Caenorhabditis elegans: one gene and its partner. The protein of the gene in region 2 interacts with the protein of the main gene of each other region in a biochemical or structural test. Each region holds a gene or a part of one and is shown on either strand. Other genes may lie near its edges. The genes, in order: ttr-52 and ced-1.

Evidence for each region.
Region 1: the proteins of ced-1 (region 2) and ttr-52 form a complex in vitro, tested with the Caenorhabditis elegans proteins (one study listed by BioGRID).

The regions. Positions count from the first base shown.
Region 1 is NC_003281.10:13,402,911-13,406,510, reverse strand, and holds ttr-52 (Transthyretin-like protein 52), read right to left. Parts: upstream 1,794-3,600; 5' UTR 1,751-1,793; coding exon 1,597-1,750; intron 1,528-1,596; coding exon 1,355-1,527; intron 947-1,354; coding exon 866-946; 3' UTR 728-865; downstream 1-727. Other genes in the region: mig-18 (Abnormal cell migration protein 18), read right to left, coding at 2,205-2,347, 2,392-2,469, 2,653-2,968, 3,059-3,208; srlf-10 (SXP/RAL-2 family protein Ani s 5-like cation-binding domain-containing protein), read right to left, coding at 3,475-3,561.
Region 2 is NC_003279.8:11,864,785-11,870,067, reverse strand, and holds the start of ced-1 (Cell death abnormality protein 1), read left to right. Parts: upstream 1-1,962; 5' UTR 1,963-1,968; coding exon 1,969-2,117; intron 2,118-2,898; coding exon 2,899-3,000; intron 3,001-3,974; coding exon 3,975-4,171; intron 4,172-5,283. UniProt on the Caenorhabditis elegans protein: Involved in programmed cell death, also called apoptosis, in both somatic and germ cells. Acts by recruiting ced-6 to phagosomes which enables actin-dependent cytoskeletal reorganization and subsequent engulfment of the apoptotic cell corpse.

The DNA of each region.
Region 1 (3,600 bases), on a different chromosome or scaffold from region 2:
AAATAATTTTTATGTTCCTGAAAATGGGATCTTTTCTGACTTTGCAGAAAAAATATTCAAATAACCTAATAATTTTTGAATTCGCGCCCAAATGAATGATCAAGTTTAGGCAGTCGTGGAAACATTTATGGTTTTTTTAAATTTGATACTTTTCAGTAATTTTTTCAGCCAAAAAGTGGAAAAATCTATAAATCATCAATTTTTAGGTTTTTTTTGGAGTTTCAGCCAATGTCTTCGAGTTACCAATTTTACGGGTTACCAATTTCAGAAGATGTTTCAAATGGCACATCAAAAATCCTCACTGTTTCTAATTGGGAAAATTAAATTGAAAAAATGTCTAAACTACAATAAAATCGATTAAATCATAGAAGCTCATTTGCAGAAATTGAAAAAAAAGTTGAACAAATTGGGACTTTTAGTTTGGAAAATCTCAAATCAAAAAGTTGGAAAAATTCAAAATCCGGTAAATTACAAACCTATAATGCTCCGGGTGTTGCTCCGTTGATGCTGGAATGAGCTTCAACTCGTAAGCTGCCTTTCTCTCCCAAAGGTCGCGCCTCCTTCATGGTAGAAGCTAGTATTTCACGCAGAGGGAGCATCAATGTGCAAAAGCTCATTGGAACCGGTTACCCATTCCGCGTGGTGTGTGCCGCGTACATATATCTTCCGCGCTGTTACTACTGTCAAAACTGTGGAGAGTGGGAGGCGGAAAAAAAAGAAAATGAAGAGAATATTTGACTTTTATTATACCAGATTTGAGAGACATAGATGAAAAGGAGGTCGGAAGTATATCGAGACAGAAATCATGAACAGTTTTATGCAAACATTGACTTTACGGCAATCATTTTATTTGCAGTTGAGTTCTTTAGTAGTCTTCAAGGTATCGATCTAGATAAACATTACCAAGACGGACAATTGATGGTAGGAACAGGGGTATTACGTCAATCTGAAATTTGTGAGCAAAGTTTCAGCAAAAAAGTTTGGCTTTCTGATCTATAAGAAACCTTTCATAAGGCATATAAACATGAGCCTGCCTGCCTTATGCCTATAAAAATATCTATTGGCAAAGTAGATATTAAATTTTATTTTTCAATCCTACTTTTGATCTCCAAATATTCATTCTTTAAAAAACTGAAAAAAAATTTTACAGGATTGTATTTTTCAATTTTTTTAGTCGGTTTCCATGTTTTTTCCATGTTATTTAATTGCACTTACACTGATATTTTTCATAGTTCTTGGTATAAAAAATTTGTTATTTTTTCAGAATTTCCAAAAAATTCAAAATCAAAAAATAAAATTGCCGAAAATTTGCTAGTTTTTAAAAACTTGCATTCTCCAGAACCTTCAGATATACCTGTATAGGATTTGTAGCATTACTATCACGATGTGGGCAATTGTGTTGAATATATAAATATGGATCAGGTGTATTAATTGGACCAAAGTCACTTGCACAACCAGTCACTTGGAAATTCCCGTTACGGTCGCTCCATGTTCGACCCATCAAGTCATCCGATTCTAGAGGTAATGCTGGAAATGTTTTAATTTTTCAAGATTAAACAAATTTGATAGTAAAAATTAATATTACAAAGTACTTACAATCTTCATCCCACAAATCGATATGCACTTTTTTAACAGCTTCAGGATCTGTTGGGCATTTTAAGACTCCAGTTGCCATAAGACAACTAGTTTTTGATAAAACGTTCCCTGAATAAATGAAAAAAGGCAGGAAGTAAATCAAAAATCTCGACATATGTTTTGAAAGTCTTTTGTTGGAGAATATTGGAGTATAAGGAATGCGTGGGGGTTGAAGAGACTCCCCTGGGGGAACATCATGGACTCCTATCTTATCGATCATGTTCATATTTATTTGCTCATTGGTGTCATCGTGTCAGCAAACACTCAAGTGCATTCTTCTCAGTTGTGGAGTAGATATTTATGTGTTACCGTTAATTTAATGTGGATATTTGGATCTAATGGTTTCACATCTCACTTGTATGTACATGACTAGGTCATTTTTCAATTACAAATTTGAGCTCTGAAGATCTATAAATGTCAACTACTATTTATTTTTTTAGCTATAATTATCAAAGGTCAAACTTTTTTTAAAGAAAAAATAATGTCGATCTGCCGACCTGATAAATCGTAAATTACTGACAGATCATTATCATATTATTCCAAAACATTTTTAATTGAAACAATAAAGTTTAATTTATTTTTCCGCACGTCTTCACTTGTCCGTCTTCTTGAATCCAAGCCGTTCCAGCCCAAATAGCCTTTTTCTTGAGTTCAGGCGGAAAGCATCTTTGAATATGAACTCCATCATCTCCACAACGATACTCAATGTCACCTAAATGTATTTTAAACAAATCTTGATAAAAAAACAAATAATACCTTCGCGCCAAACTGCATATTTTTTAATGTGCAATTCTTCATCATTTACATCGTCTTTCTCTGTTCCGTTGAAGCAACCTGAAAATGTAACTTTTGATTTAGCACTTGCTTTGTCGGTTTTTTAGAAAAAAACTTGCTAGAAAAAACTTACAATTTTGTTTGTTCCGTTCTAAAAAAAACTTTTCAATACTCCAACAAAATCCCATAAGAGTTAAGTTGGAATACGATAAGAGTTAGAAAATAAATCGAAAAAAAACTTGCCTTTCGGCTCAATCCTTGCCTGTAATTGATTTGCCTGAATCCTGCAATACTTCAAACTTTTGTTTCCAATCACAAAGAATCCACTCTTGACAATATCTCCATTTGCATCAACACATCCTTTAAATCGTCTTGAAATACAACAAATTGCGAATCTATCCTTGAAAATATCATCGGAAAAATCGGCGAATGTGGGGCAAGTGTTTGTGTTCAGATTATCCGTAACTTCACGTGCACACATGTATTCATATCCATTTTCCACATAGCTTTTGGAGCCGACTTCTAGTAAATGACCACTGTCGGTTACACATTTTAGAGTCTGAAGTTTTATAAATTAAAATACACATCGAAACATTTTGGTTCACTAAAATTCTAATCCAAAAATATAACCAATACTTATTAAATTAACCTGAATATTTCCATCTCGACAAGTGACCAAAAAATGATTATTTCGGATCCACTTGTCTCCATTTGTATAAATGACTCCATTATCATCACATTGTGAGATAACATATGAATAGACAGTACACAAAACCAAGAGACGCAGAGTAAAGGTCATTGGAATGAGAAGTGGTGTGGAGCAAAGTGAAGAACGATGGAATAGTGACCCAGGTTAAAGAAAATGTGTAAAGAGGACATGACTGAAGGGCTCGAGGGGAGAAACGTGACAAGTGATGATATCAAGTATAAATCAGTGTTTAATTACTTGGAAAACTATTATGTTGATTAATATTGAAAAGTTATTTAAAATTGATGAATGTTCGATATATTTATTTACAAAATAATTATTTATACAATATACATGGCAAGAAAGAAAAGTGAGTATTAAACATTAATTGGAGTTGGTGGAAGTTCTGGAAGTGCCCCTCCGTTGAGGAGTTGAGTGATAATGAAGATAATTGTATTGAGTTCCTGTAATATTTTGAATGTACTAACGAAATAAAATTCAGA
Region 2 (5,283 bases):
ATATCGGGAGGGACCATAAAGGTGCGGCCCAGTGTGGCGGGGACACCTCTTTGATATTCGATAGTCCACCCTTTTGACCGATTGGGAGGATTAACAGGTGGATAGAGACACTTGGATAGTCTATAAATTGACACTTGAGACTTTATGTCGATTTTTTACCCCAATAGGTGTAAAGGTTTCCGGCGTCTTATTTCCTAGTTTACTATTTTCTGATAATTCAAAATATCGAATTTATCAGTAAGAGTTCATGTAATAGTTATTTTGGAAATAACTATTGAGTGACATATAACATATAACTGTTATATTGAAAAACGGCAATTTGCCGACTTGCCGGTTTGCCGAAAATTCTGAAAATCATATATCATATAGCAACTTATATAACAAATATAACATAAACGTTGCTCAATAGATATTCTTTTGATTTGATACTTTCTTCCAGAATAACTACATGAAAACTTGCTGATGAATTCATTATTTTGAATTATGTGAATTTCCGGCCAAATATTGCTCATTTTAAATTATTACTAGATTCTGATGGACTTGAGACCCATTGCTAATCCCTGATAAATGGGCATATTGCTAACTGTAAAATCTTATACTCATCAGATAATGCTTATTCACATCAGTTCTTGCTTTAATACTAGTACTAATTAATTATTACCATACTTATTTCATTACTTTTATATAAACGCAATTAATATAATTAATTATTAATATTAATACTGATATCGGTAGCATATAAGATATAACATACAAGAAAAATATAACAAATACGTTGCTCAATAGATGAATAGATATTCTTCTGATCTAACGCATTCCATCCGAAAAAAAAAATCCGCACTATGCGATTTTCCGGCCAAATATTGCTCATCATAAATTATACACAGTATTGGCAAAAATAACCTTTAAACCCATTGCTAATCCCTGATGAATAGGCATATTGCTCACTGTAAAATCCTGAACTCATATGATAATGCTTATTCACAACAGTTCTTATTTTTAACCAGCCGTGGACCGCACCTTCGGCGCGGCCCCCGACTTCTGGGGCTGAAAATTAATTTTTTATGAAACTACCGTAACCCTACAGTATTCCTACCGTACCACTATTGTACCACTACAGTACCCCGACTATATCCCTACACTAACCCTAACTCACTATCCCTCCAGAAGCCAAAACTTCACAGACTACAAAGACTACATAGACTACAAACTATGGACACACATAATAAGCGCTTTATATGTATATAGTAAATGATATTAATACTAATTAATGTTTAATTAATTAATACTATAATTATATAATTAATAATATTAATAATAATAACTTATATAATTGATTATATACTTAAATCATCATATCATTACTTATATATTAAAATAATTAATGATTAATAGCTATACTTATATAATTAATACTATGCTTACTATAATCATCATTTACTATATATAAAGCGCTTATTCCGTTTGTCCATAGTTTGTAGTCTATGTAGTCTTTGTAGTCTGTGAAGTTTTGGCTTCTGGAGAGATAGTGAGTTGGGCTTAGTGTAGGGATATAGTCGGGGTACTGTAGTGGTACAACAGGGTTACGGTAGGAGTACTGTATGATTACGGTATTTCAGAAAAATTAGTTTTCAGTCCCAGAAGTCGGGGGCCGCGCCGGAGGTGCGGTCCACGGCTGGTAACTTATATAATTGATTATATACTTATATCATCATATCATTACTTATATATTAAAATAATTAATGATTAATAGCTATACTTATATAATTAATACTATACTTACTATAATTATATTATCAATTAGTAATAATACTGATACTAAGATTAATTAACAAAATCATAGCTTTGCATATTTTGAGTGAATTTTTCTATTCTCTGTTCTCTGTGTTCTTCAACACCATTCGTATTCCATTTTCCATTTTTCCACACAAAAATCCTCTAAAATTCCCTGTTTTTTTGCAGCCGCAAATGCGTCTCATTCTCCTTGTGCTACTTGCCACGTGGCAAGTCGTGGTGGACACCCGAGCACCCACATTTCCCGACAAATTAACACAGCAGCTGCAGCAGCAGGGGACAACAGAACCACAAGGAGATCACGTGTGTACGGTGAAGACGATGTGAGTCGAGCTGAAACTGGGAAGACAATTGAAATTCAAGAAAAAAAAGATTTTGGAGAGCTCCAAAATTAAAAAAAAAAAACTGAAAAACTAGAACTTAATCCAATAATTTTGATTTTTTTCTGAAATTTTCACGACAAAAAATCCGGAAAATGAGAAAATCTAACATTTTTTACAAAAACCTGGAAAAAAGCATTAAATTACAAAATTATATTTTTTCATTTAAATTTAATAGGAAAATTTTCAAAAAATAATTTAGTGAAAAAAAAAATTTTTCGATAAAATTATTATCGGATAATTTTCAATATTTTTTCCTTTTGCATAGTTTTTGTGTCAAAAAACGAAAATTTCCCGAAAATTCTAGTTTTTTGACATATTCTTTATCCTAATCTCTTTTCACAATATTTGTGCTCATTGAGCCCTGCTCAAAATGGTCCCCGGCAACGCTTAAGCCAACAAGTGCCTGTTTCCTGTACATATACATATACAGAAACATTGAGCAAATAACCAAAAAATATAGAGACCGATTTGAACGAAAAAATATAGATTTGGCAAAAAAATTAGCAAATTTTAAAAAATTTTTTTGAATTAAAAACCCGAAAAATCTATAAATATTTAATCATTATATTAAAAAATGTATTTTAAATATAGAGTATTTGAATTTAAATATATAAACAGTATTTTAAAAAAATCCAGATTTTTAGGAAAAATTGAGCAATTTTAAGTGATTTTTTCATTCAAAAACCCCCGAAAAATCGATAAAAATCCAAAAAATTTGCAGTGTGGACGACTACGAGCTGAAAAAAGTGATTCATACAGTGGTGTATAACGATACGGAGCAATGTTTGAATCCATTGACTGGATTTCAGTGTACTGTTGAGAAGTGAGTTTTTTTTTGGTGAAAAAAGCGGGAAAAATCGATGAAAAACGCTGTATTTTTCAAATTTGTGAAGAAAAATTGCTAGAAAGCTTGAAAATTGTGAAAATTAACAATTTAAAATGGAATTTCTCTGAAAATTGAATTTTTATAATAAAAATGGCACGAAATGAATACAATTTTGAATTAAAAAAAAACGACAATTTTAATTCAATTTTGAAGCGATTTTGGAATAAAAAAAACTAAAAAAAAAAAAACGGTTTTCTTGTAAAAATTGAATTAAAAATGTCCAAAAATCACAGAAAAACTGCAAATTTTGTCACTTTTTTTGAAATTCTGGAGAAAAAAAAATTGAAAATTCGATAGATTTTTTAAAAATTAAAAAAAAAAACTATTTTTTTAAAATTAAAAAAAAAACCATTTTTTAAAAATTACAACATAAAATTTCCGAAGAATCTGTAATTTTTCGGGGGTTTTTTTTTCCAAAAGTTTGTGTGAAAATCCAATGTTTTATAGTCTTTAAATTTTTGTTTCAAATTTTTTAAATAAAAAAAATTAGAAAAATTGAAATTTCAAAGATATTAAAAAAATTCCAATTTTTTAGAAATAAAAATAAAATTTTAATAAATTCTCTGAAAAATTGAGTTTTTTATTCGAATTTTTTGAAATAATTCACAAAAAAGTGGGAAAATATTCTGAAAATTGTTTGAAAAATCTGCCATTTTGCCTTTTTTTTTTAACAAAAAAAAAAATCACTTTTAATTAAAATTTCTAAAAATTATCAAGTTTTGTAAAAATTAAAAAATATTTGATTAAAAAAATTAAAAAATTTTTTTTTTCAATTTTTTCAAAAAAAAAATTTTTTTTATACATTTCGACCGATTTTTCCAGATTAAAAAGCTGAAAATATAAACAAATTCCCAATTTTTCTTTTAAAAAAGCTCAAAAACTCGAAAAACCCTCAAATTTCCCATTTCCAGACGCGGACAAAAAGCCTCCTACCAACGGCAACTTGTAAAAAAGGAGAAATACGTAAAACAGTGTTGTGATGGATATTATCAGACAAAAGATCATTTTTGCCTGCCAGATTGTAATCCTCCGTGTAAAAAAGGAAAATGTATTGAGCCGGGAAAATGTGAATGTGATCCCGGTTATGGTGGCAAATATTGTGCTAGTTGTAAGTTTTTTTTTTTGAAAAATTTGGAAAATTTGACTCTGGAGACTCTTTTTTTGAGCAAAAATTTGTCAAAAAATTGGAAAAATTGAATAAATTTGAAATTTTTCATGAAAATCTCAGAAAAACTACGCTTTTTGCGATAAAATAGTGAGAAATTATTTATTTTCGCTTTTTTATTCGAAAAAAATTAATTTTCCGCTAGAAATCACTGAATTTTTGTACTTTTTTTGTAAAAAAATCGGTGTTGGAAAAGTATTAAAAATCCTTTTTTTTTTCTCAAAAAAAAAAAAAATTAAAAATCTGGCAAAATCTACCATTTTGCCGGTATTTTTCAAAAAGGTTAAACTTTTTGAGAAAAAATTAAAAAAAAAACAAAAAAATTAATTAAAAATCGTATACTTTTCTCAAAAACTTAAAAAAAAACATATTTTAATATTCACAAAATTGGCAAAAAACCGAGTTTTTTCCGAGATTTCGAAAAAAAATTACAAAATTAAAAAACATCTAAAAAAGTTGAGAATTTTTGGAAAAAATTGAAAAAAAAAATCCAAAAAGAAAACGTTAAAAATACTTTTAAAAAAATGCAAAAAAAAAAAAACCTGAAATTTTCGAAATTTTTGATGACAGTTTTTTTTTCTTTAAAAAATTCAACAAATCTCCAAATTTTAGTGAAAAAATCAAGAAAATGGGAAAAAACCAGAATTTCTGAAAAATCACAATATTTCAAAATATATCAATTTTTCTCCGAAAATTCCCAATTTTTTTTGAAAAATTGACAAAAAATTTTTGAAAAAACCTGAAATTTGAATTTTCGGTTAAAAAACGGTGAATTTATGAAAAATTCGCATTTTTCCTTAAAAAATTCAAAAAATTTCCAAGTTTTAGTTAAAAAATCAAGAAAAAATGGAAACAAAAACCAAAATTTCTTTTTAAAAACTCGAAAAAAAACAAAAAAAAATTATTTTTTTTTTTAATTTTAAAAAATCACAATTTTTCTCCGAAAATTCCCAAATTTTTAGTGAAAAAAATTGAGAAATTTTTTTTTGGGAGTTTAATTTTCCACTGATTTTTTTCTCGAAAAAATCAGTAAAAAAAATTAGATTTTCCCCAAA